4 linked regions of the Stegostoma tigrinum genome follow. The protein of the gene in region 3 purifies or fractionates together with the protein of the main gene of each other region. This does not show direct contact. Links are inferred from orthologs where the notes say so. Each region holds a gene or a part of one and is shown on either strand. Other genes may lie near its edges. The genes, in order: tnrc6c1, trinucleotide repeat-containing gene 6A protein-like, protein argonaute-1 and tarbp2.

Region 1 (7,567 bases), on a different chromosome or scaffold from region 3:
TCAGTTAGCGCATGGACAAAACATTACAAAGGAGTTGTGCCAGTATGAGGAGGCATTGCAAGGACATTTGAAAGTTTACAAGCAGGATTTTGGCTGACTTTAGTACAAGACTCTTACAGAGAAGGTGGGAAGGATTTGCTAGTGTCGCAAGTTATTTTAATAATTGTTTTGAACCTTACCTAGGACATACTGTTGTGGAAAGGCATCAAGAGAGGTGTCAAGGGAATTTCCTGCACCTCAGTACTGGACCTGGATACAGTTGTTCTTCAGAGTACTATCTATTCTGGAGGAGGTTCCTCTTGCAGTCCAGAGGAGATGAGTGGGAGAACAGGCCAGGGCCTGATTCACACTGTGGTTCAGGAGGAATGAACTGACAGTTGATTACGATCCTGTGGAAAAAATCATCATCAGCAGCAGGAGGACAGAGGGAGGAGAAGGCTCTATTCTACCAACAGAGTGTACCAGCAATGTGTGACATACTCCTAAAAATGTCAGAATGCCAATGGCAGAGGAGACTCCTTGAAGTGAAACAGTCACATCTCTGTGTGGCATGTTGGCTGTGGAGATTGACTCAAATTGTGTTCGTGGACTGTCTGTACTTGTGGTGTGGAAGGTCACAATAGTCCTGAATTTTTTGATGTTGAGTTCCTTCAAGTCTTTACCTGGAGACCTTTCTCGGATCCTGCAGCTAGCTACTCATTATCACATGAAGCTTTTCATAGATACAGCGTTCACGTGCCTCCATGAGTTTATTTCATTTAGCACTGACAACACAAGTCAAGCAGATGGTACCAGAGGCTTTGCTAACATTGTATGGTATCCAAAAGTACAAGGAGTCATAGATTGCACATAGGTGACAAATAAAACTCCTTTGGGAAAGCTAGGGACAGTCCTGAGCAGAAAATGCTACCATTCCATTTATGAGCATCTTGGATGTGATCATGGTCAAAAGGTGTGCACTCGATATCTTAGAAGATGTCGTGCTAACATGCTGAGATGCTCCCAGGTGCCAGGGACCTTATTTGTTCTGAACCTTTGGTGGCATATGGGTAACAAGGGAGATCCCCTGAAGAGATGGTACATGACTCCGGTACTGAGCCTAATAAAAGTTTTAAATACATAGAGTGTACTGAAAATGAGATATTGATGTTTGGACAAGTCAGATGGTGTTCGATAATGTTCTCCTGCTTGAGCCTCACTTGTTGTTGTGGTATCGTGTGTCTTGCACAACCTGATGCTCCCTCAGAGTGAGGAGCGGAGTGAACCTCATCATTGAATGAGAATTTGAGGATCAGCCTGATGATGACCAAGTTAAGCCACGCTAGCTACCTGCACAAGTCAGTGCACAGAATGCTTTGTAAGCTGGGGCGATGCAAAATACTCTTATAATGCAAAAACATTTTCACTTCTAATCTATAATTTGGTCCATGACACTATCTTACCTGATCTGCTTTTGGAATCTCCCAGTCATTAACACCAGGACTTCCGGTGCATGTGCAATTGTGACAATCAGAGAGGCCCACTTCAGTACAAACTCAAAAGCATACAGCAGATACAGATCAAAATCAACATCTTGAGTTCACATGAATTTGGTCCTGATCTATTGCTGGCTTGGATTGGGTAGAATTTAAATAGCCTTTTGCTGCTCAGCCTTGGAGAAGTAAACAGTGACTGGACATATACTTTTACCAGTGGAAGACCAGTTTCTGACAAACAATAGATGCAATATTCACCAGTCAATTAACTCACAGCTTTCTTATGATGTCTCAATTTGATATTGTTATTGCATGTTTATAAACTCGAGTATGTTTCTTTTAGCTTCTGGCTTCCTCTGCAAGTAAGTAAAAGTTCCCAAGACTGGTTTAATTAATTTCCTTCCCACTACTCTTGGTTCCCATCATCTCTGCTTGTGCTACTGACTCTCTCTTTTCTCTCTCTCCATGCAGTTGGCAATCACCTATCAAGCAATAATCACACTCTCAGAGAATAAGTGACCTGAAGAAGTACTGAGCAGTCTCTCAGTGGCCAGTGCTGGAGGTCTTCAGAGTAACTAATCAAAGGCTTTCCAGCTTGTCAGTTTTACTGAAGGAGGCCTTTAGGCTATGCGCTCATCTTGCTGACCCTGCTGAGTTGCTGACAGTTTAAAAAAAAAACACAGATTTTACAGTTGGAAATCCAAGATTCAAGGCTTAAGATCCTTATAATTGGTTATTCTACAATTTCTCTAAAATTTCTTAATTACTTCCCCATCCGATTCAAGGGTGTCCCTTGCTCTCCATTATTGTGAGCAAGGGAAAGTCAGAGCAGGATGGTGTCACATCCATATCCCATCGCAAAGTCAATTTCTGAAACTTTCCCAACAATCCAACCTGCCCCCAAAGGCCTGAGGAAACTCAGTCTACTTCATTGGTAAGTTTTTTTTCCCGTAAATGCATGGCTTCTGATGTTGACTGACCAACATAACAGAAGCTGTATATTTTTCAATTTTAACATTATCTGAAAAGAAAAAGCCCCTGATAAATAAGCAAAATAAAGGTGTAACAGTATATCTTTTGGTACTTTACTGAAAAAGAATGACAGGTTGTTTGAGCGTTTGTGAAAAATATGAACTAGATTAATTTGTAAGATCTTTAATGTGTGCTGGCAGAATAATTGATAATGATGGCTGTGTGGATATTATGTCTTGTGTAAGGGGAAATGTAAAAACCACAGATGAGACACAATATAAGTTCAAAATTATACCTGTGTGTGTGTGTGTGTGTGTGTGTGTGTGTGTGTGTGTGTGTGTGTGTGTGTGTGTGTGTGTGTGTGTGTTTGTGTGTGTGTGTTAGTATGTGCGCCAATTTGACAAAATCACAAGCTCAAAGTGCATAAACATCTAATGGGAAGTGTTTTGTTTCCTTAACAGATGCCCAAGCAAACTATTCATTTCTATGTTTCAATCCATGAAATATGAACTAATTCCCAATCCTAGGGAAAAAAATGAATCCATTGCTTTTGTGCAGGGATGTAGCTGATCTCAACTGCCTCAATGATTTTTGGAATGAAGTGGCATAAGGTGGTTTGTTATTTAAACAGCAGGAACAAGAAACCTGTCAGATTCTGAGAATTAATCAGTGCTAATCGTAGAGGTTTGTCAACAGAAAATGGTCATTTTTTAATGTTCAAGAGAATAAAGGAAGTATAAAGAATTAGTGAGTGAGCTACTGGCTCATTTTATTTGTGGTAAGCATGAGTTAGATTTTTCAGGTTTGCACACATCAGGTGGTGTGAAAATTTAGAAATAGTGCATGTTCTGAGATATATCAAATTTAAATAAGTTGTTTGAATGCACTAAATAAATTGACCAAACGACAAATTAGAAGTAAATGGCTAAATACAAATTATTTCATTTCTTTTAGTTATATGTTGAATTTCTACATTTTAGATTTAGTATGTGCCTTACCAATGAAATTTTCCTTTAATATTCTCCCATATAAAAGCTCCTAATATTTAAAGTCACAACATAATACTGGAATAAGAACAGCATGACTGTATTCCATTCAGGGTGTTTTTGTAAGTATTTAATTTTTTAATTCATTCCACATAATTGAGATGTGAATCAAAATTGCTTCCTTTTTTAGCAGCTTGAAGATCACTGCTATTTATATTTGTTTACCACCTTCCAATAGTGATGCTGTTAAGAAAATTGTAGAAGTCCTAACATGCACATCACCATTGAAATATGATTTTTAAAATTAAATTTGCATTGTTTGCATTAAGAGCCCTTTATTGTTTAGTGTTATTCTGTTTATAAAATGGCTGCTGCATCTCTCCTCATTTCTGGCTTGACAAAATGAGACATATGGCATCACGTCTCATTTTGCTCTGTGCACAATCATTAACAGTATCTGCTTGCCTTTAGGTTAGCCACATAGATTTGCCAGGTTTGTACTGTAACTTCCAGTGGGAGAAACAAAAGAGTCCCCTCTCGTTCATTTACAAAGTGGTGCTTTGTAGCTTCACATGATTAATTAACGTACCGTTCAGCACAGTACAAGGCTGGCATACTACAGGTATACAAATATGCTGCAGTACAGAGCGGATTACGCACAAAACATTTTTTCACAGAAGCACAATTTGACACTGCTGGGAGTAATCAAATCCTGGACATAACTATGGTAATTGCTAATTTGCAAGTGTACAATTGTTTCGGAGCAAAGTTAGGCAAATTTCCAACTCATAGCGGGTCACTAGATTTCCTTGAAAATAGTCGCGTTGGTAACAAAAAGCTTAAGGAGGCAAGGGCTTCCCGATGGTACATAAAATTAAAAGTGTGATAAAATGGCCAACATCATTAGTATTTTCGCAAGTGTGTTTCATCGAATATTTTGATGGTGTGAAGTAAGGATGTGTGCTGTGGCTGCGTCAGCCTGTTTGAGTGTGATGTATTCATTTTGCAGTTGGCTGTTGCAGCCTGTATTGCAGAGCTTATGACCTGCTTTCACATGCAGCAGATTCTCCCATAAATTCTGATTCATATCCAGCAGCTGAATCCTGGGTCTTGCTGGATATTCTTTATTCGCTTTGTTTCGATTTTGTCGCCTTGAGCTGAATAAACTTCACGAAGCTGATGCCTGGCCGATCTGTGAGGTAATTTAGCGCTAATTAATTAGTGATGGTTGCAGAGTGCGCAGGAATTTCAGCCTGGCCTCATTTTTTTTTGTTTTTGTTTAGTCCACTTTTTTTGTACAGTATTTTTGTATCTGTACCTCAGTTTGTGATTACTAAATTCCTTCCCGCACGGAGACCAAGTCGAAGATATAGAAAGAAAGCAAAAGTGAGAGTTTCAACAGTCTACGCGTGCTTTCGCTTCTAATTTTCCCACCCGTTGTTAATTGTTTCATCGTTTTGAGTGAACCAGTTTTGCAGCGTTCAGCTGTTTCCACATTTTCACCTCAAGGCCCTATGTTTGGCTATTCAGTCGAGCAGTAGGCTCATTGCCAAGTTAGCACAATGAAGAATGGCAATATGCAGATTTGTCTTGTCTTCATTAATGGCAGCTGTAGAAAAAAAATGTTCAAGAGCTGATTACTGATTACTTAGAATAAGACCGTGGGAAAATCGTTGTCTGGTTAACGTATCCTACTGTGTTTGCCATAAGCCTTGCATCCAACATGGCTGACAAGGTTACCCTCCTCAGATGATCTCAATGCTGCTCTTTAAGTAGATTCTGCGCTGAAGCTTTTTGTCGCTTTAGTATTTGAGATCCATTAGGTAGGAGCCGAGTGCCTTCTCCATTACAGTACACTGTTGAACAACTGCTCGTCTTACTGATGCGAGCTGCCGGCGTGCACTCCACTCGCCTGTTTTGCATGTGTAATGCGACTGCGCTTAATGACTGTGAGTAATTATGCCAATCAAAGTTTGTCTGGCCTGTGATTTTTGAAAGTTAGCCAGTGCTGGGGTTAAGTTGGCACAGCAACTGTTGTTAGGGGAGCACTGAGCCTCTCACAGCAGCAGCCAGCTGAATTGTAATAAGAGAGTTGGCATCATTCCAGATTCCACAGCATTCAGAGGTATGGTATATTGTGCACGGGGAACTGGCTAATTAATCTTCCAGCAGGGAAGAGTGTAGCTTCAGACAATTATAAAGCGGAAAGGAAGATTAGAATAGAAACTGCCAGCTGAAGAAATGTTGATGATTTTGAATGATAAAGCTGGCATAAATAATGCACTTGAGTTAATTTAATGTAGATGTTCTGATGCTGTTCCATGCATTGACAAATTTGTTTTATTCTTTTTATAGGCAGCAATTAAAGAGCAGGAATAAAAACACTCAAACCTTCTTTTAACCTGGCTTACATGATTAGATTGTTTTAGAGCCCAGCACAGGATTGGGATACCACTACAGTATCTGGAGGTGTGTGAACTTGGTAGAATGGCTTGGTCTTCTATATAATCTGAGGAACTTTTTCTAAGAAACTATGCATTAAATAGTGATTGTTAACACTGACAACTGAACTCAGTTTGTAGATTTTGATAATTTCCCATGGCTAAACAAAATTAAAGATAATTTTTAAGCAGTTTTCAAACACATGATGCTGTAGTGATGTGTTGTGAGAAAATACAACAGACATTCTCAGAATACCTCATTCAATATTTATATTATTTATTTAAAATGCAGAGTTTATCCATTCTGGTTGTATACAGTGGCAATAATAAATCACTATTGTAGGAGGGAACAAGCGTGAATAAAGCATTTGTTTTTGCTATGTCAGTCAGTGGGGCTCTGTTCAGTTGTTTGGGGCCCAGCAAAATGGACAGTCATGCTCCATCATCTTGGTGTGTAGAATTTGGCAAGCTAATTAGTTTACTTCCAATGTGTAAATATGAAAGTATATCAGCCTGATCTAATAGCACTTTTTTTATAAAAGCGCATTAGTCTTGAAAGTTTTCAATAGTTTGCGTACCTGATATGGAGCCAATTGTTTCAATGTTGTGCTAATTAAGTTGTGTGTGCAGGAATACACATAAGGTTTATCCTGCAGTTTTTCAAAGAAGTATCATTTGTCATAGCTGATGCAAAGCCAACCTCTACAGGTCACAAGTTTTCTGACTGCAAAAGGCACAGGGTTGCTAGCAACTTCCTTGAAATATAATTACAGTGAATAAACCTTAATTTGATCTTTCTCACTACTAGTTAAGTTTGACCTTATGTAGCAAAGGAATCATGTTTCTTTCGAGTTAGCCATTGTATATTTCGGAAATGGCATCTCTAGAGACCCACCCTAGTCCCTTTGTCTTCAAAATTGATATAATAGAATTGTAATATTCAATATATGCCAGGTTAAATATTTGCAAAAGTAAAATTAGCGAATCTGACTTGATGCATGTTCTCCAATCATATGTTTTATGTACAATTTCCCAATCACATTTTAAAAGAAAACAGTTGGAATAAATTGAATGAATGTATAATACATACATTCATCAATCAGTATGATTGTTTTATGGTAAGCAGAAAGTTCATTTAATGTAGCTCGTAATATAAGTTGGCTCTTTTAACAGAGTGATGTTAAATTCTGTTATGCTGCTCAGGAAGTATGATAGTCCCTTTTCTATTTGTTACCTTGTTTGATGTGAATATTTTTAAAAGAAAAATTAATTAGCTCCACTGAAGACCAGCTATGATTCCTATGACCTGACAGGTGCTGATTGTGAGGAGAAGCTGGCTGATGAAATCAGATGCATTAATTAATAAGCATCACTGCAGATAGCATTTACACAGTGCTGCCTTTGTACTCAGAAAAAAAAGAATAGATTTGACTTTGGAAACATTTCCAGTTTGGTTTCTAACTTCTGGGACTGCTATTACAAATTCACAAAGCAAATTTCAAGAAATGGTGAACAGTGCACTCATGTTTTTTATGACTCCTTGTTAATGAGACTGTGGAGAAACAAACAAGATCAAGGTTTTTTTCAGAGAAAATTTGCATCTCATTGTGTTTCATTTCTGGATGGGAACAGGAGTTCAAGACTTAATTTAGGTGGCCACTAGAACACCTATCCAATGCCACTGCGGTTCAGG
Region 2 (8,033 bases), on a different chromosome or scaffold from region 3:
AATGGTCACACAGCACAGAAAGACCCTTCCATCCCACCAATCCATACTGAACATAATCCCAAACTAATACCATCTGCCTGCTCCTGGCCCATATCCCCCCCAACCCCTTCCTAGTCATGTACTTATGCAAATGTCTTTTCAACATTTCTAATTGTACCCACATCCAACACTTCATCAGGAAGTTCATTCCACATATGAATCACCCACTGTGTAAAAAAACAAATTGCCCCACATATCTTTTTTTAAATCTCACTCGTATCACCTTTAAAAAATGGTCCCCCAAGTCTTGAAATCCCCCATCCTAGGGATAGACAACTATCATTAGTTCTACCATACCCCTCATGATTTTATAATCTTCTCTAAGGTTACCTCTCGACCTCCTACGATCCAGTGGAAAAGGTCCCAGTCTAACCAGCCTTTCTTTATAACTCAAACCTTCCATAACCGGCAACATCCTGGAAAATCTCTTCCGACCTGTCTCCAGTTTAATAATATTCTGGTTAACCAGAACTGGATACAGTGTTTTATAAGGGGCGTCACCAATGGCCCGTACAACTCTTCAATGTGACTTCTCAACTCCTATACTCAAAGGATGGAACATTGCGAGCAAGTGTGCCAAATGCCTTTTTACCCACCTTGTCTACATGTGATGGAAACGTAAAAGAATTATACACATGAACCCCTGGGTCCTTTTGTTCTACCACACTATCCAAGACCCTACCCTTGTTTGTTGTACCAAAATGCAATATCTTGCATTTATCCAGATTGAGTTCCATCTGTGATTTTTCAGCCCATTGACCCATTTGATCAAGACAGCTTCTTGAGCATTCTTGGATCTGCACTCATCCATGCAAGGGGAGAGTATGTCATCACACTTTTGATTTGTGCCCAGTAGATGGACTTTGAGAAGTCTAGAGGTGAGTTGCGTGATGCAGAATTCATGGCTTCATCTTGTAGCCAGTTCACCTTCTAGTAACTGGTAACTCCCAGTATGTTTAAAGTAGGGGATTCAGCATTTTTAGTGCCATTGAATGTCAAGAGGCATTGGTTGGTTTCTCACTTGTTGGAGGTGTTCATTCCCTGGCACTTATATGATGCACCTGTTCCTTATAAACCCAAGCTTGAATTTTGTCCATGCCTTGGTATTTGAGGAGTTGTGAATTGTGCTGAACATTGTACAATCTTCATGAACATCCCTACCTCTGATCTTATGATGGAAGAAAATAATTGAAGGGATGGATGAAGGTGTTTGGGCCTAGGACACCAGTCTGAGGAACTCTTGCAGTGATGTCCTGTGGCTGAGATGATTGACTTCAAACAATAACAACTATTGTCCTTTGTGCTACATATGACTCCTTTGATTCTGATTGACGACAGTTATTCTAATACTGTTTGATGCCACATCCAATCAAACACAGCCTTGATGTCAAGGACAGTCAACCTGGTATTGCTTAAGTCTGTCTAATCACATGTTGCTAGTACTGCTGCTCTGTGGCTTCACCAAGTTGACATCTAATCGTTAGATATACTTGGTGCTGCTCCTGACGTGATGTCTTGCACTCTTCATTGAACCAGGGTTGATTCCCCTGCTTGGGCAATCCCATAACCAACAGATCAGATCCTAGCTCTGCAAATCTGCCACATCCAGTCATTAACGGTACTGGACAACTAAGCAACTCACTTGGAAAAGTAGGTTCCACAAATAACTCCATCCTTGTCGATTGGGAAGCCCAGCCCATCAATGCAAAAAACGAGTTCGAAGCATTTTCAGTCAGGAGTGCCAAGTTGACGATTCACCTTGGCCTCTTCCTAAAGTTACAGGATCACAAAAGCCAGCCTTTTGCCAACACAATTTGCTCTACATGATATCAAACAACGGCTGAAGGCACTGGCTGCTGTAAATGTTACAGGTCATGACAACATTCTGGAAATATACTAAAGGTTTGTGCTTGTAATCTTTGATTTGGGGATCTCCTAGGCTATGAAGTCAAATGTTGCATAAAGTTTTGGTGCTGCTGATCCACAGCACATCATGTTGCTCAGTTTTCATTTGCTAGATTGGTTTGAAATCTAACCAATTCCACACAGTGATTTTGCCACAGAAAATGATGGAAGTATCCTCAAAGTGAAGTCTGTAAAGACAGTGCGATAATGTCAGGGACAGGTGTATCCGCTAAATGTAGATCATTTAGGATGAGGTCAATTATATTTTTTTCGTTTTGTTGGTTCTGTCATTGCCTGCTGCAAGCTCAGTATTGCAGCTATGTCCTTTAAGATTCAGACACATTTGCTAATAGTGGTGCTACTGAGCCACTCTTGGTGCTGTACATTGAAGTCCCCACCTGTGTACATTCTGTGTCCTTGACACCATCAGTATGACCTCCAAGTGGCTATTAAAATAGAGTACAACTGATTTATCAACTGTAGTAAGTGGTAATAAGCAGGAGGTTTCTTTGGCCATGTTTAACTTGATCCATGAGATTTCATGGGGCCTGTAGTCAAACTTGAGGAATCCCAGGGAAACACTCTTTTGAATGCCTATCACTGTGCTGCTACAGTGGCTCTTTTCTGTCATTGGGCTTGTGATCATGGTGTCATGGACAGTGCCTGTCAGATCTGATTCAATCAGAATGACTATGTCTAGCAGTTGGACATATATACCAAAATTGGGAGAAGACTCTTGATGTTAGTAAGGAGGACATTTTAGGGTCAACCAGGGCCATTATCACTTCTGGTCTGCCTGGTTTCATCTCCTTTAACAGACTTCGTTGTGGTTAGGTACAACTCCTGGACATTTACGAATCAACCACAGTACTGTGAATATGCAGACACAAGTAGAACAGACCAGGTGAGGATTACAGATATCACTTCCCTAAAGGGCTTTACAACACTTGTGGCCACCATTGAATTCCGCATTTAAATTTGGTGATTTCAAATGTCAGGATTTTTTTTTGTAGTGAGATTCAAACAAAAGTCCTCAGGGCCTCTGGAGTTACTGGTCCAGTGATAATACCACTCTGCTGGCATCTCTCCAATGCTACGGCTGAAAGTGCCAGAAGTTGCCAATAAACTTTGGGCTCAATCTCACAAGAAACTAGTAGGTAGAGAGAAGAAAGTCTGAGATTAGTGTTGAAGATGTAGGTTTCTAAATTTAGGATTAATTTTTATGAGGAGAAGGTTTTCTCATTGAAAATGTACTGTGAATTGTCAAGGGATTTATAAAACAAAGTAAAGGGATCTTTTGACTGATAAAGCTGGTACAATATCAGTGTTTAACAGTATAATATTTAGGAGTTTTACTCAAAATCTAACCTTCGCCGTACTTGCCTGGAGGTATTAAATAAAAGAGTGTTAAGTCAGTTTTATTCTACGTTTAATTCATGATATGGTTAACTTCAGATGGTTTGAATGGCTTTATTCTGAGCTATGCCTGATGATGATACACAGCACCCAACAAGGGAAATTGTTTAATTCACCAACAGATTTCTATCACTTTGATTATGGATATCTAACAATGATGAGTCAAAATACAGAAGGGAGATAAAGAGCTTGGTGACTTGATGCAATGAAATCAATCTGTCTCAACGTCAACAAAACTAAAGAACTGATCATCGACTTCTTAAAGAAAGGAGGAGAACACACTCCCATCTAAATCAACGAAACTGAGTTTGAGAGAGTGAAGAACATCAAGTTCCTCCGAGTGATGATAACTGGTGACCTGTCCTGGACTTCACATAAATGCAAGACAAGAAGGCACAACAATGCCTCTTCTTCCTCAGGTGGCTCAGGAAATTTGGCAGGTCTATAATGTCCTTCACCAACTTCTACAGGTGCACCATTGAAAGCATACTGTCCACGTGCATAATGGCTTGGTATGGCAACTGCTCTGCCCAGGACTGCAAGGAACTACAGAAGATGGTGTGCACAGCCCATACCATCACAGAAGTCAACCTTCCATCCATGGACTCTACTTAAATAGCTCTCTACCGCATAAAAGCAGCCTACATCATCAAAGACCCATCTCACCCTGATAATGAACTCCTCCAACGTCTTCTGTTAGGCAGAAGATACAGAAGCATGAACACACACAGTGACAGGTTCAGGAACAGTTTCTTTCTGGCTGTTATCAGACTGTTGAAAGGACTCTAGCCTCAAATAATGTAACCTGTATGTCTTTGGTCTGTACATCCTTTGCTGTAATCTGCCTGTACCGACCGTAAACAATGCTTTTCACTCTATTTCGGTACACGTGACAATAAAATCAATCAAATCAAATGCAGAAAAAAACACCAGATAATTCAACTGTGGTAAAATAATACCAAAATCTATTGAGATTGGAATGAATTAAAAAGTAAATCAATTGCAGGGGTAGTCCGTCGAAACTAACAGCCGAGCGAACTCAACTGCTTGAGAATGTGAAAATGCCCAAGGTCGAATATTCTATGAGAACAACGGTAAAATGGAGTTTGGAAACTTGAGGTTGGAAAGCACAAATATGTGATCGCTCGATGAGGACAAGTTGTACAGTAGAATATCGCACGAATATTCTATGATGAACGGGCAAGGGTGACTTGAACTGGGGAAACTACATGAGGAGAAAACTGGGTGTGCACAATGACTGTCTTTAATTTAACTTCCAAACGCGATTTTTGAGATAAATATCCAATGACTTCCTGTCTCCGAACTCCCTTCCAACGCTAGAGAATTAATTATTATTGGTATTCGTACATCCTTGAGAGCTTACTGTCAACTTACAGCTCGTTTTCTTTCCTGCCCTCCCCTCAATGCTGAGCCGGTTGCCATGTGATCAGCCATTTGCGGACCGGAAGTGCCCAGCCGCGCGCTGTTGGACCAGTTCCTGTCAGTTAGGAGAAGATGGCGGCTGTGGAAAGTGATCGCTGTGTTTGGCGCCGCGGCCACTCGCACACTCACTGTTAAAGCCTTATTCGCATGTTTAGCTTTCGAATTTCTCACTGTTGCACTTTACATTAATGAGGTGTGTAGATTTATTTTTTCCCTGGATTGTGCAAACGAGCCGGCTCGGGAGCACGCAGTCCACCGACCGTTTTGTTTGATGCTGTGTCGCCGCTAAACGGGGGAGCGTCGGGTAATGGGGTGGAGAGAGTGAGAGAGAAACAAGTAGGCCCCTCTGTTGCTGCAGCCGTAGGATAGGGCCTGTGTGCAAATCCCGCATTGCAGCGCTCTGAACTTAAGGCATTTCTGCGGTTTTGTGCTTAAAAATAATACTCAAAATAGCCTTCTGATTGTCGCCTGTTTAATTGCAGAGGATTGGAGGCTAACGCTACCAAAGAAGCTCAAGGTAAACTAAACAGGTAAGGTTTGCCTTTGGTTCATTTTGCAGTTAAATATATTCAAGTTAAATTTGGGGAGGAAAATATCTGGCCTTCACCCACTCATGTATAGCCTCCTCCTCCTCCCCCCCCCCCCCCTTATCTCGCTTGAGTTGAACTGTGAAGAAAAATTGTAGAATAAATACTGGAACTTGCAAATGTTGCATATACTATAAAAATAACTGGGATTGGATCGGGGTCAGGAAAGGCATGGCGTGTTGTGCCGCCCAACCAGATGTTAACTGGTAAACATGCATTTTGCAAGAGTCGATCGGCCTCGCTGCAAATTAAGGGATGTAAAGTGCAGTGTATACAAATTTAGAAGTAATTCAGATTTTTCAGATGTGGTTATTCTTTCAACTGGCTGTTACTTTGAGAGCATTTACTTTGCTCCTCCATTTTTTGAAGGTAGTTATTATCTTTCATTGGTGAATGAGTGTTCCTGTAGTATATTATCATTGTTGTTATTTCTTAACTTCAAGTTCTAGGGTGAGCTTGCCTTGTCCATACGGTTCAGTTCCGTATCGTGTGTGTGCGTGTGTGTATCCTCAGATGCCAAAAAAAACATGATTCCTCAATCTGTTTAAATTTTTATAGAAATTGTGAAGCTGCTAAACATTTGAGAGACGTTTATAAATGTAGGAAAATGTTCTGACACATTTTCAGTAATAAGATATCCCAACATACTTCACAGGACTATGACCAGATCCACATTTACACTAAATGAATGAAAATGTGAAGACTAATGGTAAAAATTTGGTTAATTAGGTGGTTTCTAAGGCTTAAAGAATAAAATTTATAGATGTAGCTGGAGGCAAAAGTGGTGAGCAGGAATGTAGGGTGCAGTGGAGGGCCACATTAGTCATGTGCCATTCTCAGAATTATGAGACTGGATTCAAACATTAGCATGATGGTAATATCGTAAAAAAAAATACAGGCAGTGCAAGCATGAATGGGACAGGCTCCAAAATTTTGGATTCGTTACCTCAAAACAAGCTTCTGTTTTGAGGTTGAGATGTTTTGAGGTTGTGAAAGGTGCTCCATTAGCTTATAAGATAACAAGGTGTAGAGCTGGATGAACACAACAGACAAAGCAGCATCAGAGGAGTGGCAAAGCTGATGTTTCGGGTTGAGACCCTTCTTCAGAAATGAAGATGTCTGACCCATTCCTGAAGAAGGGTCTCGACCCGAAACATCAGCTTTCCTGCTCCTTGGCCTGCTGTGTTCATCCAGCTCTACACCTTGTTATCTCAGATTCTCCAGCATCGGCAGTTCCTACTAGCTCCAAAAGCTTACGTTGGTTTTCTATCCACCAAATGCTGAGTTTCTGAGATCACATTGGATGCAATGTTGAAAGTGCAAATATGGGAATATAAATCTTACTATTTTCAATGATTGCCTTGCCAAAAGGGCAATTTTATTTATTTTTTGATTATGTATGGTAGGTTGCTGCTGCTTAAAAAACTTTGTTCTTTTTGACAACATCCTGTCCCTGCGTTGTTGTGCCTTTTTCTGTTTCAGGACTGGTTGTTAGGAAGATAGGGCTAGGACTCGGTCAAGTTAACCTTCAACATATGAGGATCTTGACAGTAAAAGCAGATAATAGTGACAGGATTGACATTTGCATGGGTTTGTGAAAGAGAAATCATACTTCACAAATCCTCTAGCATGTTTTGAAAACGTAGCCAGTAGAGGTGATCAGTCAGGGCTGGTGCATGTGGCTAGTTAGACTTTCAAAGGACTTTCGAAAAGACCTCATGTAAGAGATTAGTATATAAAAATTAAGGTGCAAAGGATTAGGGGTAGTTTACTGACATGGATAGAGAACTGATTGTTAGCAAACAAAGAATAGGTTTCTTTTGAGTGCCAGAAATGGACTTTTGGGGTACAGGCGGGAGTCAGTGCTTGGTCCTCAGCTATTCACAATCAATATATTAATAATATTGATGAAGGAACTAAATGTAATATCTCCAAGTTTGAGTTTAATTTGGGTAAGTATGAGGTGTTGCATTTTGGTAAGACGCACCAGGGCAGGACTTATATAGTTAATGGTATGGTCTTGGGGAGTGTTAATGAACAAAGAGATCTAGCGGTGAGATGCACGGTTTCTTGAAAGTGGAATCATGGGTAGACAGGGTGGTGAAAAAGGGACTTGGCATGCTGGCCTTCATTGGTCAGTGCATTGAGTACAGGAGTTGGGATGTCATGTCACGGCTGTACAGGACATTTGGTGAGGCTGCTTTTGGACTACTGCGAACAATTCTAGTTGTTCTTCTGTGGGATGGTTGCTGTAAAACTTGAAAGGGTGCAGAGAAGATTTGCAAGGATGTTGCTGGCCTGGTGGGTTTGAGCTATAGGGTGAGGCTGAATAGGCTGGGGCTATTTTTGTTGGACCATCGGAGACTGAGGAGCCTCCTTTGTAGAGGTTCACAAAGTCATGAGGGCCACAGAAATGGTGAATGTAGCCAAGGCCTCTTGCCTGGGGTGGGGTAGTCCAAAACTGGAGGGCATAGGTTTAAGGTGAGAGGGGAAAAGATTTAAAAAGGACCTGAGTCCTTTTCACCCAAAGGACGGTGTGTGTATGGAACAAGCTGCTGGAGGAAATGGTGGAGTGGGTACAATTGCAACATATAAAAGGCATCTGGAAAGGATTTAGAGGGAAATGGGCCAAATGCTGGCACA
Region 3 (8,043 bases):
TCTTTTCATTGGAGAAAAGGAGGAGGAGAGGGGACCTAATTGAGGTATACAAGATAATGAGAGGCATAGATAGAGTCGATAGCCAGAGACTATTTCCCAGGGCAGAAATGGCTAGCACGAGGGGTCATAGTTTTAAGCTGGTTGGTGGAAAGTATAGAGGGGATGTCAGAGGCAGGTTCTTTACGCAGAGAGTTGTGAGAGCATGGAATGCGTTGCCAGCAGCAGTTGTGGAAGCAAGGTCATTGGGGTCATTTAAGAGACTGCTGGACATGCATATGGTCACAGAAATTTGAGGGTGCATCCATGAGGATCAATGGTCGGCACAACATTGTGGGCTGAAGGGCCTGTTCTGTGCTGTACTGTTCTATGTTCTATGTTCTAAGTCACCCTGAGCATTTTCAACAACTTTTCAGTTGAAATACATGAGTCAAACTCACTTCAGATCAAACAAAAGCCTTCATTAAAAAGGAGCACCATGCAAGCTTTCTCTTTTAATGTAGTTTTTAAAAAATTGAGGCACTTCAGAGTTATTCAAGTATGACCCTGAAAGGCATAAGTATATTTGAGCTGATGATCAAAATCTTAGTTAAAGGTAGATTTTATGAACATCTTAAAGGACGTACAGCAGTGCAAGGAGGTGATTTCAGTGTTTCGGGTTCTTGAGAGGCTGCCATTGGTACAGCAATTAAGAGTGGATTAAAGATGAAGTGTTGGAGGAGTGCAGGTATCTACAGTTGGCAGAGGATAAAGATGAAGGGTAATGCCGCTAAGGAATTTGTAAACAATAATAAGAATTTCAAATCAGTATTGCTTAACCAGGAGCCAGGGTAGGATCAGAATCTCAGGAATGCAAAGTGAACTAAGTTTAATTTGATTTAGGATACAGGCAGCAGAGATTTCTATACGTTTACAGAGGTGTAAGATAGGTACTAGCCAGCAGTACATTGGAATATTGAACTTTTAAGGATAACAAAAATGAGAATGAGGGTTTCCAAAACAGCTGAGGCTCTGGTGTAATTGGAAAAGTGGGAATGGAGGTCTTGATGGCACAAGAATTATCTGCATCCTATGTAACATTCACCATTGTGAACCGTCTGGATCAGTCTATAACAGCTGCCAGGAAGAGGGCTGGAGTCAGTTGTTGGATAACATTCGTGATGGAACTGAATGCAATGGCTTTGACAGAGGAGATGTATTGAAGATAGATAGTGTAATCAACAGTTTCAGGTTGCAGACTGTTGGAGATGATGTGGGATATTTTACCATGGTCACAGTCATATTTTGAAACTTTGAGGGTCATTTCATTGCTAAGGTAGGCAGAAAGATGCTTGGAATATTTAATCCAATTTGGGAATTGACAACACATTTAAGGATTTTGAATATGTGAAGAGAATTGGAGATGGGGACTTTGATTTACATGGACTTCAGGGATAAAGATTTATTTTCTTTTTGAGGAGGCAGTGATGAGGCAGATTTATGGAGGGTGCAATACCTGAAGAGAATTATTTGTCAATTATTATTTATTTAGGGATAGGTAATGGCCTAGTGATATATGGCTAGACTATTAACTCTGAGACCCAGCCAACATTTTGGAGAACTGGGTTTGAATTCCACCATGGCAGATGGTGAAATTTGAATTCAGTAATCTGAAAAGGAGAGTCTAATGATGACCATGAAACCATTGTCGATCGGTAGAATTAAAAAATGCAATATGGCTCACTAATGTCCTTTTAGGAAAGGAATCTGCCATCCTTCTCTGGTCTGGCCTACATGTGATTCCAGACACACATCAGTGTGGTTAAGTCTTAATTGTCCTCTGGACAGTTAGAAAATGGCAAAAATTTTTCGCCCTGTTAATGATGCCCACGTTTAGTGGATGAATTTTTAAAAAAATTAACATCAACTTCCATGGTCAAGAATGTTCAGCAATTTAGTAAGAGTCAAATATGAGGAGGAACAATAGATAGATAGATAGATAGATGGATTTCTTGCAGAGGATAAAGTGTGGTCTGAGATGCCATAAAGAGACCTTGGGAAGAGAAACCTGCTTATGGCATGGGGACCTTTTGTGAAAATTTATCTGTGAGTTGGAAGAAAGCAACTGAACGGATGGTTTCAGTCTTGATCTTAAAGTCCATGAGCTCATCACCTTAGACAACAGAGGAGGTAGAAGGATAGTATAAGAAAATGGTTTGCAATAAAGTAGCCTGGGATAATCCTGTAATATCGACCAGTTTTGGTAAAATATAGAAGCAAGAGCATGGAGAGGCAAACAATGCAGGAAATTAGAGCCCAGCTAGTCTACCGTTGAGAAAATTCTGGAATCCATTACTAAGAAAGTAGTAGCAATAAATTTAAATTTATAATCCATCAGAGTCAACATCGTTTTCTGAATATCATGTATAACAAATTTTGAGTTTTTGAGGAATTAACACGCAAAGCTGAAGGAAAAGCAGACAGTGTATTTGGATTTTAAGATGTTTGATTAAAATATCATGGGGAAAGATTATTAGCATCTAAGAGAATTATTTCTAAAATCTTGGAATAAATAGAATCATTTGGTAAACAGTAATTAGTGATATAGCACCGAATTGGTATTGATAGCTTGACTGAAGAGATTGATTGCATTGTCGCCAAATTTGCGGGTGATTAAAAAGGTAGGCAGGTGAGGAGGCTACAAAGAATTTGAAGGGGCACGTGTTTAGTGGACAAATTTTTAGCAATTGAAATATAATGTGGGAAAATGTGAAGTTGCTTACTCTGGTAGGAAAACTAGAAAGCAGAATATTAATTAAAATGACAGTAAAGAATTCCAGGTGCCTTCATACATGAATCTCAAATGCTGATTCAATAAGTAATTAGGAAGGCAAATGAAATGGTGGCCCTCCATTGCAAAGGGTTTGAGTCTAAAAGTAGGAGCATCTTATTACACTATACTGTGACTGAAACAGAACCCGAAGTTCTATATACAGTTTTGTTCTCTTAGTTCAATGGTGGATGTGACTACGCAGGAATTAGGACCAGTAGCGTACTATTCAGACCCTCAACCTCACTCTGCCATTCAACTAGAACATGGCTGATCTTTTTAATGTCATTACCCTGCATAATCCTCATCATTTATCGATTTTTAGATTTCAAAGTTATATACTCCCTTACCCATATCTGCAGTAAAAATCTATGTCAGGAGAGACTTTAAAGGAGCAGAGGAGGAGAGCTGGTGTTACTGTTCTCTCTCTTATAAGGAAACAGTGATGGGATAGATTGCATATGACAGGAGAGAAGCAGGGAAGATCTAAAATTTTCAGTCATCCAACAAAAAGGCAAAAAAATTCAAATGACAGCAAGAGCACAGAAATATTGAGGAATCTTAATGTTGAATTTTAAGAGAATATCCAAAGAAAAGAAAAGCACAGTGGTTGAAGAGGAGTGAACTTTTATTTAATTTTTTTAAAAAAATCTTAAGTGTGGGGTAGATGAAAGCTGCATGTCAACGGACTGCAGGTCATGATTCTGAAAACCTCTTCAGAGTCTCAGCCTCCCCACCAGGAGAACAGTCCCAATTTTATTATATCCTTGGCAAGTTTTTTGGGTATCACTCTTCAATGCGTTCACATCCTACAGACAAGCGTTTCTCACCGCCCCCCCCCCCATCCTCCTTCCTTCGAACCAAACAATCCCTCCAATATGGAAGTAGATTTTTTTTCCCTCGAATCCACACTGACCCTCCGAAGAGCCTCCCACCCGCCTACTGTATCCCTGTAACGCTGCATTTGTTACGTCCGATACACCTCGCTAGCCCATGTGCGAAATATACACAGTCGCTGGAGAGTAGAATTGAATCCGGGTCCCTGGCCACGTGAGAATCAGTGCTAACCACTCAGCCACTGCATGACGTTCTTTTGTAGTCTTCTTATCCATTCTGTGTTCTTGCTGCCCTAAGGATCTGTTTCTAAGCCCTTTCTTTCTTGATCCCCATTCTGAACTAGCAAAGAAGTCATAAAGCCCCAGCCATTTTATGGCAAACGTTGGTAATTCTGCAATGACGAACGTCTGCCACGAGAGGGAGGCTGGACCATTTAAAAGTGCTTCCGTGTGTAATTTTCAAGAGAACATATACGTGTGTATTGTATTTATTTCACACTTTATAATAACATTTTAGTTTGTTCATTATTCTAGCTTTTGCGTGTTCAGTGCTGCACATGTATGACGTAGTATTTTACCTTATCCATTGCTTTGTCCAGGCAACAAAGTTAAAATCGTAGCTTTCTGGAACACCGAAGCAAATTAAACGATTCCCTGCTCATGAAGACAGCAGGCCAAGCAGCATCTTTAGGAACACATTTGGCCTGCTGTGTTCATCCAGCTCCACACTTTGTTCTCTCGGATCCTCCAGCAGCTGCAGTTCCCATTATCCCCGCTCATGAAGACTCTGTTGTCTAAATGTGCCGCTTAAAATTGACTACTGTAAAACAGACTGCTCTCAACTTGTTCGATGATAAGCTGGTGTCAGTACTACGCTCTTTTTTCTGAAGAAGGTTCTAGGCCCGAAACGTCAGCTTTACTGCACCACTGATGCTGCTTGGCCTGCTGTGTTATCCAGCTCTATACCTCGTTATTTCAGCTTCTCCACCATCTGCAGTTCCCTCTGTCTCTCTGACAATTTAAGTCCGTTTTAAAGAGTCCACACGTGACCCACAGTAACCACTCACTACTGCTCCTCCAGCGTCCGCAACGTGGCGCTACCTGCTACCTTAGGTCGTCGTCTGCAGGTGCGTCGTGACATTACGGGAACGTCACTCATTGTGTCCGATGGATTTGGGTGGGGGGGAAGGGAGGTGAAAGTGTTAGGCGCATGCGTGGCGGAAGAGAGCCGGCTGCCGGGGCAGTTCCATGAGACGCGTGCGCAGTGGCGGCCCCAGGGAGCCTAGGCGGCGCATGCTCAGTGTCAGTGTGCGTGTTGGGTTGTGTAGAGTTGGTCCGTGGGGAGGTCGCGGGGGTTTGAGCCTTTACACCCGGGCAAATCCGCTCTCTCACGCTGGTATATGGGATGGAAGCGGGGCCAGCGACAGCAGGTAACCTGGTGGGGAGCGGGAATCGAGCTTGTGGTTATTTTTCTGTAGTGAGCTTTGGGGGCTCAGGGAAAGGGTCTTCTGAGGGAGCATGCGCAGTACCGCAGTAGCAGGCAACAGAGTTGTTTTCTTAAGAAATAAAAACAGGCTAAAGCTGCGAGTGCAAAGCTCAGTGCACACATTGCAGGGCAGAATAAAATCTCATTTTGCTGCACAGCACTGGTGTAGACCCCGTAGAATCTCTACAGATTCAAACTTTTCGTTGAGCTGCAGGTAAATGCATCACATTTGACGGAGAAATTGCTCTTGGAATGTGGACTGCAAAAGCTCCCAAGTCATATACATCTCATTTGTTTATTCGGAAAGTTAACTAATAGTAAAAGACAGTGCCGAGTGATATGAAGTAAGGCATGGACTTCCGAATAGGGTAAAGAAACAAAGCACTCTTATGTTGTTATAGCGGGATGAAATGATGAATCTCTAGATATGGCATTCTGGACACTATTGAGTGCTGAGACGAGTTTTTGTGATTGACAAAAAAAAACTCAGATTCTTCAGAGGATGCAGAGAAGTGTCAAGATCAAAGGATCTAGGTATGGGCAAAGACTCTTCCCCTTGGAATAAATGATCCTTTGTGAAAGCACGTAAATCAAACAATACACAAAGCCTCACTATGGTTAGGCAGGAAACCAATATGTTGGGAAGAAATGATTTGGGCTTGGAAGAATTTCTTCAAAGAGTAATGAACACAACTTTGAGGTAGGTTAGTGTGAAAGCTATCTTAGTTATTTAGATGTTGGATAACTTTAATTTGGGGTGCAAGTGGGTGGGGAAGAAAGGAAGATTCTTTTCATATCTGCCTCGATCTTCACCTGTGGAAGTAATGGCATATTTACCCTCTAGATTCATGCTGTTGAGCATTTTGTGTCAACCAGATATTTAAGTTTTAAATTTTCCTGGGTGACAGTGTGGCCACCAGAACAGTTTAATGTCGCACCTTTAATTTTTGCACCTTTTGCTGTTATGTTTGCTTATGAAACAATACTAACTATAACTTCATGGAATTGGTTGGCTTTGGAGTGCTTTGTGTGGTTCAGATGTCGTACATCTACATGAGAAGGCTGAGGGTTTCAAGTGTTTTGAATGAGACGTTAAACCGTAGACCCTTTTTGCAACTGAGGGCTCTAAAGATTGCATGGTGGTATTTAAGAGGATCAGTGGAGTTCTGTTATCTCAGCTAATCTTCCTCACTGACCTTCACACAAATAAGGTAATTCATTATTTTTTTCAAAGACACAAACTGTGACCAAACAAAAAGAATGTTCATCTTTGTTGTCTCAAAAAGAATGTTAATCAGCTTTGTGAAATATCAGGGCAAAAGCCATCTAACCCTTGGTTAGACCACACCTGGATACTGTGGGAAGTTCTGAGCATGACAAATGGATATACAGAAAAATATACACATTTTTGAGATAGAACATTGTAGATTTACCCAAGATACAATCTGGCTGTCAAAATTCTGGTAAGGGGAAATTCTGAGTTGGGTCTGTATTAGCTGAAATTTAGAAAGTTGTCCAGTAATATGATTAAAGATCTCAATACTATCAAGGACAGGCATGCTACGTACAATTGAATTGAGTTAAGGAGTCTGGAGCCAGAGGGCATGATCTTAACCATTAGACCCACACAAAATTGAAATTAGGAACTGCTTCCAAATCCAAAGTGTGGTAGAAGTTGGGTAGCTGATCTTGCGATGCTTGTTAATTTCAAACCTGGAGTTTTTGTTAGGACAGACAGGGCCATAGTGACATGGATCACAGACAGCCATAACCTCAGTGAATTGTTGTCGATATTTTCTAATCAACCTGTTCAGAGATGTTATGACACCTATCAGGACCAGGTGGGATTTGAACCCAGCCTTACTAATCTGGAGGTAAGGTCACCACCAGTGTACCACAAGAGGCAGTATAAATTGAACGATTGTACAGACTTCAGCTAAATCGCCTACACTTGTTCCTGCTTCAGCAGGAGTATTGTGTGCAGGTGCACTTGAGTAAAGACAGGAGGGCTTTGAAGAGAGTGCAGAAAGGATTTATAGTTATGTGGCTAAACTGCAGAAGCTAGGGTTGCTCTTATTTCAAGTAGAGAGGAATAAGAGGAGATTTGATTGTGTGGTGTCACGGATGGTTTAGGTGGAGCAAGGAAAGGTAAAGCATCTGTTGTTGGAAGAGTGAACAACAGGAGGACAAAGTTTGTAGGCTGACTGTAGCAAGTGATACTACTTTGGCAGTGAATGTTAGGATTCTAGTGCACTTCCCAGTAGTGTTCTGAATATAAATTCAGTAGTAGTGTTTAAAGCAAGAAAAATATTTTTGGAACAAAAAAATGTAGAAGTTGCTAGAGAAACTCAGCAGGTCTGGTAGCATCTGTGGGGCGAAAACTATTAACATTTCAAGTCTTAAAGAACCATAGTACTTTGTAGGCTCACAACTAACTACATTTAAGCTAATCTAAAATTGCTGCTTGGACAAGTTCAGCATGAGCTGTCAAATCCAATGCAGGTGCACTAAAAGTTTGTGCTGTGATTCTTAGTGGCTGAGAAATTATTTCTAAATTATCTAAAATCCTTTTTAGAATTGCAAGTGTAAACATTGTCTGCAGTGCAGCTAGGTTTTTGTTTTTTCTGATGTGTAACTTGTGTTTTTTGTATCATAGCAGATTCCTGTAGTTCCTGCTGGTTTGTTGGTCAACTAATAATCAGTTCAACAAGACTGCCTTATCCCAATAAAATGCAAGCATTTTGACATGAAAAAACTTAGGTACCAGTAATCATTCAATCTTTTTTCAAGAGCAAGACAAAACAAAAGGTGTTTGAGCTAGTGGCAAGACTGACAGGCAGGTGTCAATTTTATTTTGTGTTGGCATAAACAGCGTGCTGCTTGACCATGAAGCTGTACTCACTAGATTCCCAGAC
Region 4 (8,057 bases), on a different chromosome or scaffold from region 3:
ATTGAGTGGGTAAATCTGCCTGGTCCCAAGTGCAAGTCCCTCCTGTTTTTCAAACTCAACTACACAACCTCAGAAATGAAAATTCCACTGAATGTTTCAGGTTGTGACCTTTCATCAAGGAAGGATATTTTGACATATGGTGGGGTGCAGCAGTTTCCTCAAAATCATAAAAGATACATAATTCTTTGAAACACAGGTAGAGGCAGTGGTTAAGACAGTGTTTAGCACACTTGTCTTCATTGTTCAGATGTTTGAATACAGGAGTGGGACATCACGTTGAAGTAGTACAGAATGTTGGTTAAGCCTCTTCTGCAGTACTGTGTGCAGTTCTAGTCACCCTTCTATAGGAAGGATATTATCTAACTGGAGATGTTCAGAAAAGATTTACTAGGATGTTGCAGGGAATGGAAGGTTTGAGTTATATGGAGAGGCTAGATAGGTTTGGGACCTATTAAGGTTTATAAAATCATAAAGGGCATAGATAAGGTAAATAGCAAGGGTCTTTTCCCTATTTGGGGGAGTTCAAAACTAGGGGGCATATTTTTAAGGTGTGAAGAGTTTTTTTTAAAAAGGATATGAGCAGCTACTTGTTTTACAGTGGTTCATGTGTAGAATTAACTGCCAGAGGAAGTGGTGGGTGCAGGTACAGTTACAACATTTTAAAACATTTGGATTAAAATGTGAACAGAAAGGGTTTGGAGGGATATAGGTCAAACACAGGCAAGTAGGACTAGTTTAGTTTGGGAACATGGTCGGTGTGGACGAGTTGGACCGAAGGGTGTTTGTGCTGTATGACTCTGTGACTTTATTTGGTATGAATACTAGGATCACTTTGAATTAATGTAGCCAGTCGTTTGAGCTTTTATGGATTGTAATGGTATTATCAGTTACAAAAGGAAATAAAGACTTCTGCAAAGTTGCTGGAAAGGCTCAGCACGTCTGGCAGCATCTGTGAAGGGAAAAAACAGAGTTAACGTTTCAGGTTCTTTCTGAGGAAGTGTTACCGAACCTGAAACATTAACTCTGATTTTTCCTTCACAGATGCTGTCAGACCTGCTGAGCCTTTCCATAAAACGTTGTTGTTGTTATTGTTGTTCCTGATTTACAGCATCTGCAGTTCTTTCACTCTCAAGCAGATGTTCACCTGCACATCTGGCAATGTGGTATACTGTATCCACTGTACCCGGTGTGGCTTCCTCTACATTGGGGAAACCAAGCGGAGGCTTGGGGACCGCTTTGCAGAACACCTCCGCTCGGTTCGCATTAAACAACTTCACCTCCCAGTCGCAAACCATTTTAACTCCCCCTCCCATTCTTTAGATGACATGTCCATCATGGGCCTCCTGCAGTGCCACAATGATGCCACCCGAAGGTCGCAGGAACAGCAACTCATATTCCGCTTGGGAACCCTGCAGCCCAATGGTATCAATGTGGACTTCACCAGCTTCAAAATCTCCCCTCCCCCACCACATCCCACAACCAGCTCAGCCTGTCTCTGCCTCCCTAACCTGTTCTTCCTCTCACCCATCCCTTCCTCCCACCTCAAGCCGCACCTCCATTTCCTACCTACTAACCTCATCCTGCCTCCTTGACCTGTCCGTCTTCCCTGGACTGACCTATCCCCTTCCTACCTCCCCACCTATACTGTCCTCTCTACCTATCTTCTTTTCTCTCCATCTTTGGTCCGCCTCTCCCTCTCTCCCTATTTATTCCAGAACCCTCTCCCCATCCCCCTTTTCTGATGAAGGGTCTAGGCCTGAAACATCAGCTTTTGTGCTCCTGAGATGCTGCTTGGCCTGCTGTGTTCCTCCAGCTCCACACTTTGTTATCTTGGATTCTCCAGCATCTGCAGTTCCCATTATCACAGGATGATAGAACATAGAACAGTACAGCACAGAACAGGCCCTTCAGCCCACAATGTTGTGCTGACCATTGATCCTCATGTATGCACCCTCAAATTTCTGTGACCATATGCATGTCCAGCAGTCTCTTAAATGACCCCAATGACCTTGCTTCCACAACTGCTGCTGGCAACGCATTCCATGCTCTCTCAACTCTGTGTAAAGAACCCGCTTCTGACATCCCCTCTATACTTTCCTCCAACCAGCTTAAAACTATGACCCCTCGTGCTAGCCATTTCTGCCCTGGGAAATAGTCTCTGGCTATCAACTCTATTTATGCCTCTCATTATCTTGTATACCTCAATTAGGTCCCCTCTCCTCTTCCTTTTCTCCAATGAAAAGAGACCGAGCTCAGTCAACCTCTCTTCATAAGGTAAGCCCTCCAGTCCAGGCAGCATCCTGGTAAACCTCCTCTGAACCCTCTGCAAAGCATCCACATCTTTCCTATAATAGGGTGACCAGAACTGGACGCAGTATTCCAAGTGCGGTCTAACCAAAGTTTTATAGAGCTGCAACAAGATCTCAATGTGCTTTGTTTTTTTCATTCCACATTTGTTTTCTTTATATCAATGTTATAGAGGTTTTATGAGATGATGAGATATTTTTCTAATGAATATAAGCCAGATTCTGGTGTGAAGACAAAAAAAAAATGACATTTGCTATTACACAGGTCAGATGTGCACTTTGCAAGCTACAAAAATGCACAGATCAGATCTTACCAAGCTCCAAGGAAAATATGCCCCCCACTTCTGCTGTGTAGATGAAACTAGTGGGGTGGGGTGGGGTGGGGGAGTCATATTGGATAGTACAGTTTTTGGAAAGTTCTCTATGACTGAAGGGAGGCTATTTCCCTCCCATTTTCTAGCTTTATTCCTGGAACCACTTATTTCAAAGACCCGCTGAAGTAATATTGTTGACTTCAGGAAATGTTTAGTTGCTTGTCTATTATCAGGACAGTTCTTTCTGATGTGGTTTTCTTTGCTTTATTTTGTTACTTGCATTTAGTATTGCAAATAAAAATGAATTTAATGTTGGATATAATATTGTCAAGTTAAATGTCATCTCTGAACTGTGGGTATGGAATACAAGTCTTTATTCACCTTTTATCATTGATTATACCATTATATTCCACAAAATCCAGGGTGTGACTACCTGAATTCCTAATATTCATACTAGATGTGTCAAGACTCCAACATACATTGGAATTTTAGGAGTTGAAGCAGTATGTAGATGAAGGTTTAAGTGGCAAACTTAGCTGCTGCAGGTATTCTCTTCAACCTGCCAGCCAGAAAACTGCAATTCCCTGAGATGAAGGGTTATAAGATGACCAAAGTTTTAAAGCAGTGTTGACTGGAAAGTATCACAACTTATTTTGGGACAAGCAGTCCCTGTACACACGTTGCAATTTTTTTTAACGTCACTTCTTGGCAATACAACAGGCTTCACTCAGAATTGATACACCAGGGGCAGGATCTGGCCAGCTTGCCTTCTACTGAAGGCTAGCTAACAATCATTTACACATTTTTAAAAAATACAAACATAATTCATTTCTTTTCTTCTGAACCTATACTCTTAAACTGTTGTACATTTTGCTGTTTCCTTACCATCGTCTGGCATTGAAATTTGACATATTTGCCATCAGCTGGACTGTTGCCAGTATTTGGTTTATTCTCCCCAAATCTCCCAAAAACAATTGTATAATTTTATTTTAGCTGTGCGTAAGTGGGATGCAAATCTGTCAATCTCAAACTTCGCCAAATATTATACTTTAAAGAAATCAAGGAGCCAGCATAGAGACAATAATTATTTTTGAATCTTGTGCTTTTGGACTGATCAGATGATTTTAAAAGTAGATTAATCTACTGTTGTGATACAACATTTGCTTAAATCAAGGTTGCCAAACTCTCTGCAGGACTAGTAAACCAAATGTACATTCTGTTTTGCTCAAGACATTTTATTTTCTTCACTTGTGGGATGTGGACATCACTGGCTGGCTAGCATTTTTATTGCTCATCCCTAGTTGCTCTTGAGAAACACTACAGTCCTTGTGCTGTAGGTTGACCCACAATGCCCTTAGGGAAGGAATTCAAGGAATTTTGACCCAGTAACAGTGAAGGAACAGCGAATATCTTTCCAAATCAGGATAGTAAACGGCTTGAAGAGGAACTAGCAGATTGCAGTGTTCCCACGTATCTTCTGCCCTTGTCCTTCTGGATGGAACTGGTTGTGATTGGAAGGTGCTGTCTGAGGATCTTTGTTGAATTCTGCAATGCATCTTGTATGTGGTACACACTGCTGCTACTGAATGCCAGAGGGAGTGGATGCTGTGCCAGTGGTGGGCTGTTTTGTCCTGGACGGTGTCAAGCCTCTTCAGTGCTGTTGGAGCTGCACCCATCCAGACAAGTGGGGAGTATTCCATCACACTCTCGACTTGTGCTAGGCAGATGGTGGACAGGCTTTGGGGGCGGGGGGTGGAATCGGGAGGAGTTAATTGCTGCAGTATTCTTTGCCTCTGACCTGCTCTTTTGTAGCCAGCATTTATGTGACAAGTCCAGTTGGGTTTCTTGTCAATAATCACTACAACCATGTTGACAAGTGGGGAATTCACTGATGGTAACAGCACTGAATGTCAAGGGGTGTTTAGATTGTCAGTCGTCTTCTTGAAGATGGTCATTGCCTGGCATTTGTATGACGCAAATGCCATAAAAGTTCAGCAACTATTGTTACAGGAAAGTACAGCCATATTCCCTTGCAGTACATGCTTCAGATTAAGCTGCACAATTGCTGCTAATCACAAGTTCTACGTGCTGGTTACTTTGTGATTATCATATTTCCTCTAAAGAGATATAACAGCAAGAATGTTTGCAAACTCATTCTAATTAATAAATTCTACCAAGTCTTTGTATCTTTTTTTAAAAAAAACCTGTTGTGTACTTTGGTAGTAATATCTTCCCTCGTGCCCAGGCGCTCCGCTGCCATTTTGAGCCAGTTGGATCTTTAGCGCGCTTTTTGGGCCTTGACCGCTGAACCGGAAGTGGTGGCAGCAAAAGCCGATGCGCCTGCGCAGTGGCGAACGGCGTTGGTGCTTATGCAGGGACCGAGCAGCAGGAGTCGGAGCCGCCGCCGTCTGAGCCACGATCGCCGGCACTGTCATCTGGGATGACGGAGGATCGGGCCGCTGCTGCAGCCAAGAAGACTTCCAGCTGTCCCAGGTATAGAGCGAGCCGGAGGATATCCGGGTTTTAGAATTGGAAGTTCTTTTGTTTCCTCCCTGTTCATTCACTGCTTGAGCTGCAGTAGCAGAAACCCGTCTGCTTTGAGTTACATTTGTATATAGCCTTTCCCATTTTCGGGACCTCCCAGTGCGCTTTGCGAGACTTTCGAAGTGCAGCCCCATTTGTGAGGTAGGAAGCTACAGACAGTTCGCAGGCACTTCCAAGTATGTGACTGTGATCTCAGAGCATCTAATTTGAGGGACAAAATAGTTGTCACAAAGGATCTTACTCTCCTTATTTTCGAAATAGTGCCGTTGCACCATGCCTGGCTATCTAAGAGGGCAGATTTACTTTAAGTGGATCCAGGTATGTCTGACAATGTCCTTCCTGGAAAAGTGGAATTCAAGCCTGAAATCAGCTATGATCATGTTTAAGGTTGATGGGCCTTACAGAATCATAGAAGCCCTATGGTGTCGAAGCAGGCTGTTCGGCCCAGCGAGTCCGCACAGACCCTCTGGAGAGCATCCCACCCCCACCATGTTCCTGTAACCTTGCATTTCCCAGAGCTAATTCACTTCACTTGCATGTCTGTAGACACTATGGGCAATTTAGCTTGGCCAAGGCACCCAACCTGCACATTGTTGGACTGGTAGCCATGATGTGGAGATGCTAGTGTTGGACTGGGGTGGACAAAGTCAGAAGTCACGTGACACCAGGTTATAGTTCAACAGGCTTACTTAAAATCATAAGCTTTCAGAGTGCTGCCCCTTCATCAAGTGGAGTCAACCTGACAAAGGAGCAATTCTCTGAAGGCTTGTGATTTTAAATAAACCTGTTGGACGTATAACCTTTGTGTCACCTTTGAACTGTGGAAGGAAACTGGAGCACCTGGAGGAAACCCACACAGACACTGGGAGAATGTGCAGTCTCCATACAGACAGTTGCCCAAGGGTGGAATCGAACTCTGGTCCCTGGTGCTGTGATGGTCCATTCCTATTTCTGTTCTTTGGATTTTTGTGCTCTTAACATGGATAACAAATCCAGAACTTAGAGGCAAATGTGCTACCAACTGAGCCACACCTGGCACACAAATAAAATCTTAAAATGTAGAAGCAAAATTCAGTTGCTGAAGCCATTAAGTCTGGCATTCGATGAGAGCATGCCTGATCCCCATAACCCTTGATTTCTTTACTGATTAAAAATCTGTCCACCTCAGCTCTGAATGTAGTTGGTGACTCAGCCTCAACAGCTGCAATAAAGAATGCAACAGATTCACTTCCCTCTAAGAGAAGAAATTCCTACTTGTCTCTTCTTTGAATGTGCAACCCCTTATTCTGAGATTATGTTGCTTGGTCGTAGACTCTCCACAAGGGGAATCAACCTCTCTGCATCAACCCTGTCAAGCTTTCCCCCCCGCCCTACCCAAGAATCTTGTACATTTCAATAAGGTCACCTCTCATTCTTCTAAATTCCAATGAGTACAGGCTCAACCTACTCAACTTCTAGGCATAAGACCATCCCTCCATACCCAGGATCAGCCAAGTGAACTTTCTCTGGACTGTCTCCATTGCCAGTTTATCTTTGCAGATAAAGGGACCAAAACCGTTCACAGTATTCCAGCTGTGGTCTGATTATTGCCATATCTAGTTTTGCAAGACCTCCCTATTTATATCAAAGATGAAGATAGGAGCAGGAGTAGGCTATTCAGCTCCTTGAGTCTGCTCTGCCATTCATTATGATCATGGCTAATTATCGAGCTCAAACCCTAGTCCCACTCTTCCCAAGCTCCTTTGAAATGAAGGCATGACATTCCATTTGACTTCCCTATTACTTGCTGAACCTGGTTCTTTGTGGTTCATGGGTGATGACTCCCAAATCTCTCTTGTTCTGTAGCTTAAAAATCTGTCTATCTCAGCCTTGAATATACTTAGGAACTCAGCCTTGACAGCCCTCTGCAGTAAAGAATTCCATTGATTCACTACCCTCTAGAAAAGAAATTCCTCCTCGTCTCTGTGGACACCACATTCTGAGATTATGCCTGTGTTCCTGAACCCTCCCACAAGTGAAATCAACCTGCTCACACTGACCCTGTCAAGCCCTAACCATCTTGCTTCTTTCAATAAGATTGCCTCTCATTCTTCTAAGCTCAAACAAGTTCAGGCCCACCCTACTCAACTTCTTCTCATTATGACAGTCCCTCCATACCTGGTGTCAGCCACATGAACCTTTCTCTGGACTGCCTCTAATACCAGTTCATCTTTCCTTAGATAAAGGGCCCAAAACACCTCAGTATTCCAAGGCTGTGGCAAGTTTTAGAACTGAATCCACCCCCCCCCCCCCTGCCATTTTACACTGTTCCCTTTAAAATAAAGGTCAATACTCCATTTGCCTTTTCTCTTTGAATGCTAACTTTTTGTGTGGAGCCGTAAAGATTCATTAGGTCCAAAAAGAAATATTTATTTGGATGAGGCATCAACAATTTGCATAGAAAAGACTGCTAGACACACATGCACCCATCTTCCATATATTTAAAGCAGGCAAGTTAGAAGGACATAAACACAGGTTTACATCAAAATGCTTCCAAAATATCATTTCTCCTAACATTAGGTTGTTATGCAAAACCGTTTATTGTAGACTGCAGTTAATTGACCGGTCTCGTGAGTGGCATTGTGGCTTTACCATTAAACAATGGGAACATTTCACTTGGCTCCAAATAACCAAGCAAGCAATTGCTTCAAGATTAGGATATCCCTGGCTGGATGACACCAGAAAAACCAGGATTTGGTTTGTGACTGTATTGGTTTAATCGGTAAACATCTACCCATAGTTCTGAACAAATAAGGAGGGTACAGGGTTAGGGTTGTTAAGCTGAGCCTGTGCTTGTGCCTAAATTCTTTGGCTTTTTAGTAAAGTGGTTTGCCAAGTAAGTTATGGCTTGGAA

The links.
Region 1: the proteins of protein argonaute-1 (region 3) and tnrc6c1 purify together in Homo sapiens (affinity purification with mass spectrometry; 5 studies listed by BioGRID and IntAct, with this or other methods). This does not show direct contact. The link is inferred for Stegostoma tigrinum from reciprocal best matches to the Homo sapiens genes AGO1 and TNRC6C.
Region 2: the proteins of protein argonaute-1 (region 3) and trinucleotide repeat-containing gene 6A protein-like purify together in Homo sapiens (affinity purification with mass spectrometry; 10 studies listed by BioGRID and IntAct, with this or other methods). This does not show direct contact. The link is inferred for Stegostoma tigrinum from reciprocal best matches to the Homo sapiens genes AGO1 and TNRC6A.
Region 4: the proteins of protein argonaute-1 (region 3) and tarbp2 purify together in Homo sapiens (co-immunoprecipitation; 4 studies listed by BioGRID and IntAct, with this or other methods). This does not show direct contact. The link is inferred for Stegostoma tigrinum from reciprocal best matches to the Homo sapiens genes AGO1 and TARBP2.

The regions. Positions count from the first base shown.
Region 1 is NC_081375.1:33,587,350-33,594,916, reverse strand, and holds the start of tnrc6c1 (trinucleotide repeat-containing gene 6C protein), read left to right. Parts: upstream 1-4,384; 5' UTR 4,385-4,632; intron 4,633-7,567. UniProt on the Homo sapiens protein: Plays a role in RNA-mediated gene silencing by micro-RNAs (miRNAs). Required for miRNA-dependent translational repression of complementary mRNAs by argonaute family proteins.
Region 2 is NC_081376.1:22,158,441-22,166,473, forward strand, and holds the start of trinucleotide repeat-containing gene 6A protein-like, read left to right. Parts: upstream 1-4,866; 5' UTR 4,867-4,991; coding exon 4,992-4,996; intron 4,997-5,285; coding exon 5,286-5,333; intron 5,334-8,033.
Region 3 is NC_081377.1:21,413,565-21,421,607, reverse strand, and holds the start of protein argonaute-1, read left to right. Parts: upstream 1-4,938; 5' UTR 4,939-5,047; coding exon 5,048-5,072; intron 5,073-8,043.
Region 4 is NC_081404.1:11,895,783-11,903,839, forward strand, and holds the start of tarbp2 (RISC-loading complex subunit tarbp2), read left to right. Parts: upstream 1-4,965; 5' UTR 4,966-5,060; coding exon 5,061-5,113; intron 5,114-8,057. UniProt on the Homo sapiens protein: Required for formation of the RNA induced silencing complex (RISC). Component of the RISC loading complex (RLC), also known as the micro-RNA (miRNA) loading complex (miRLC), which is composed of DICER1, AGO2 and TARBP2.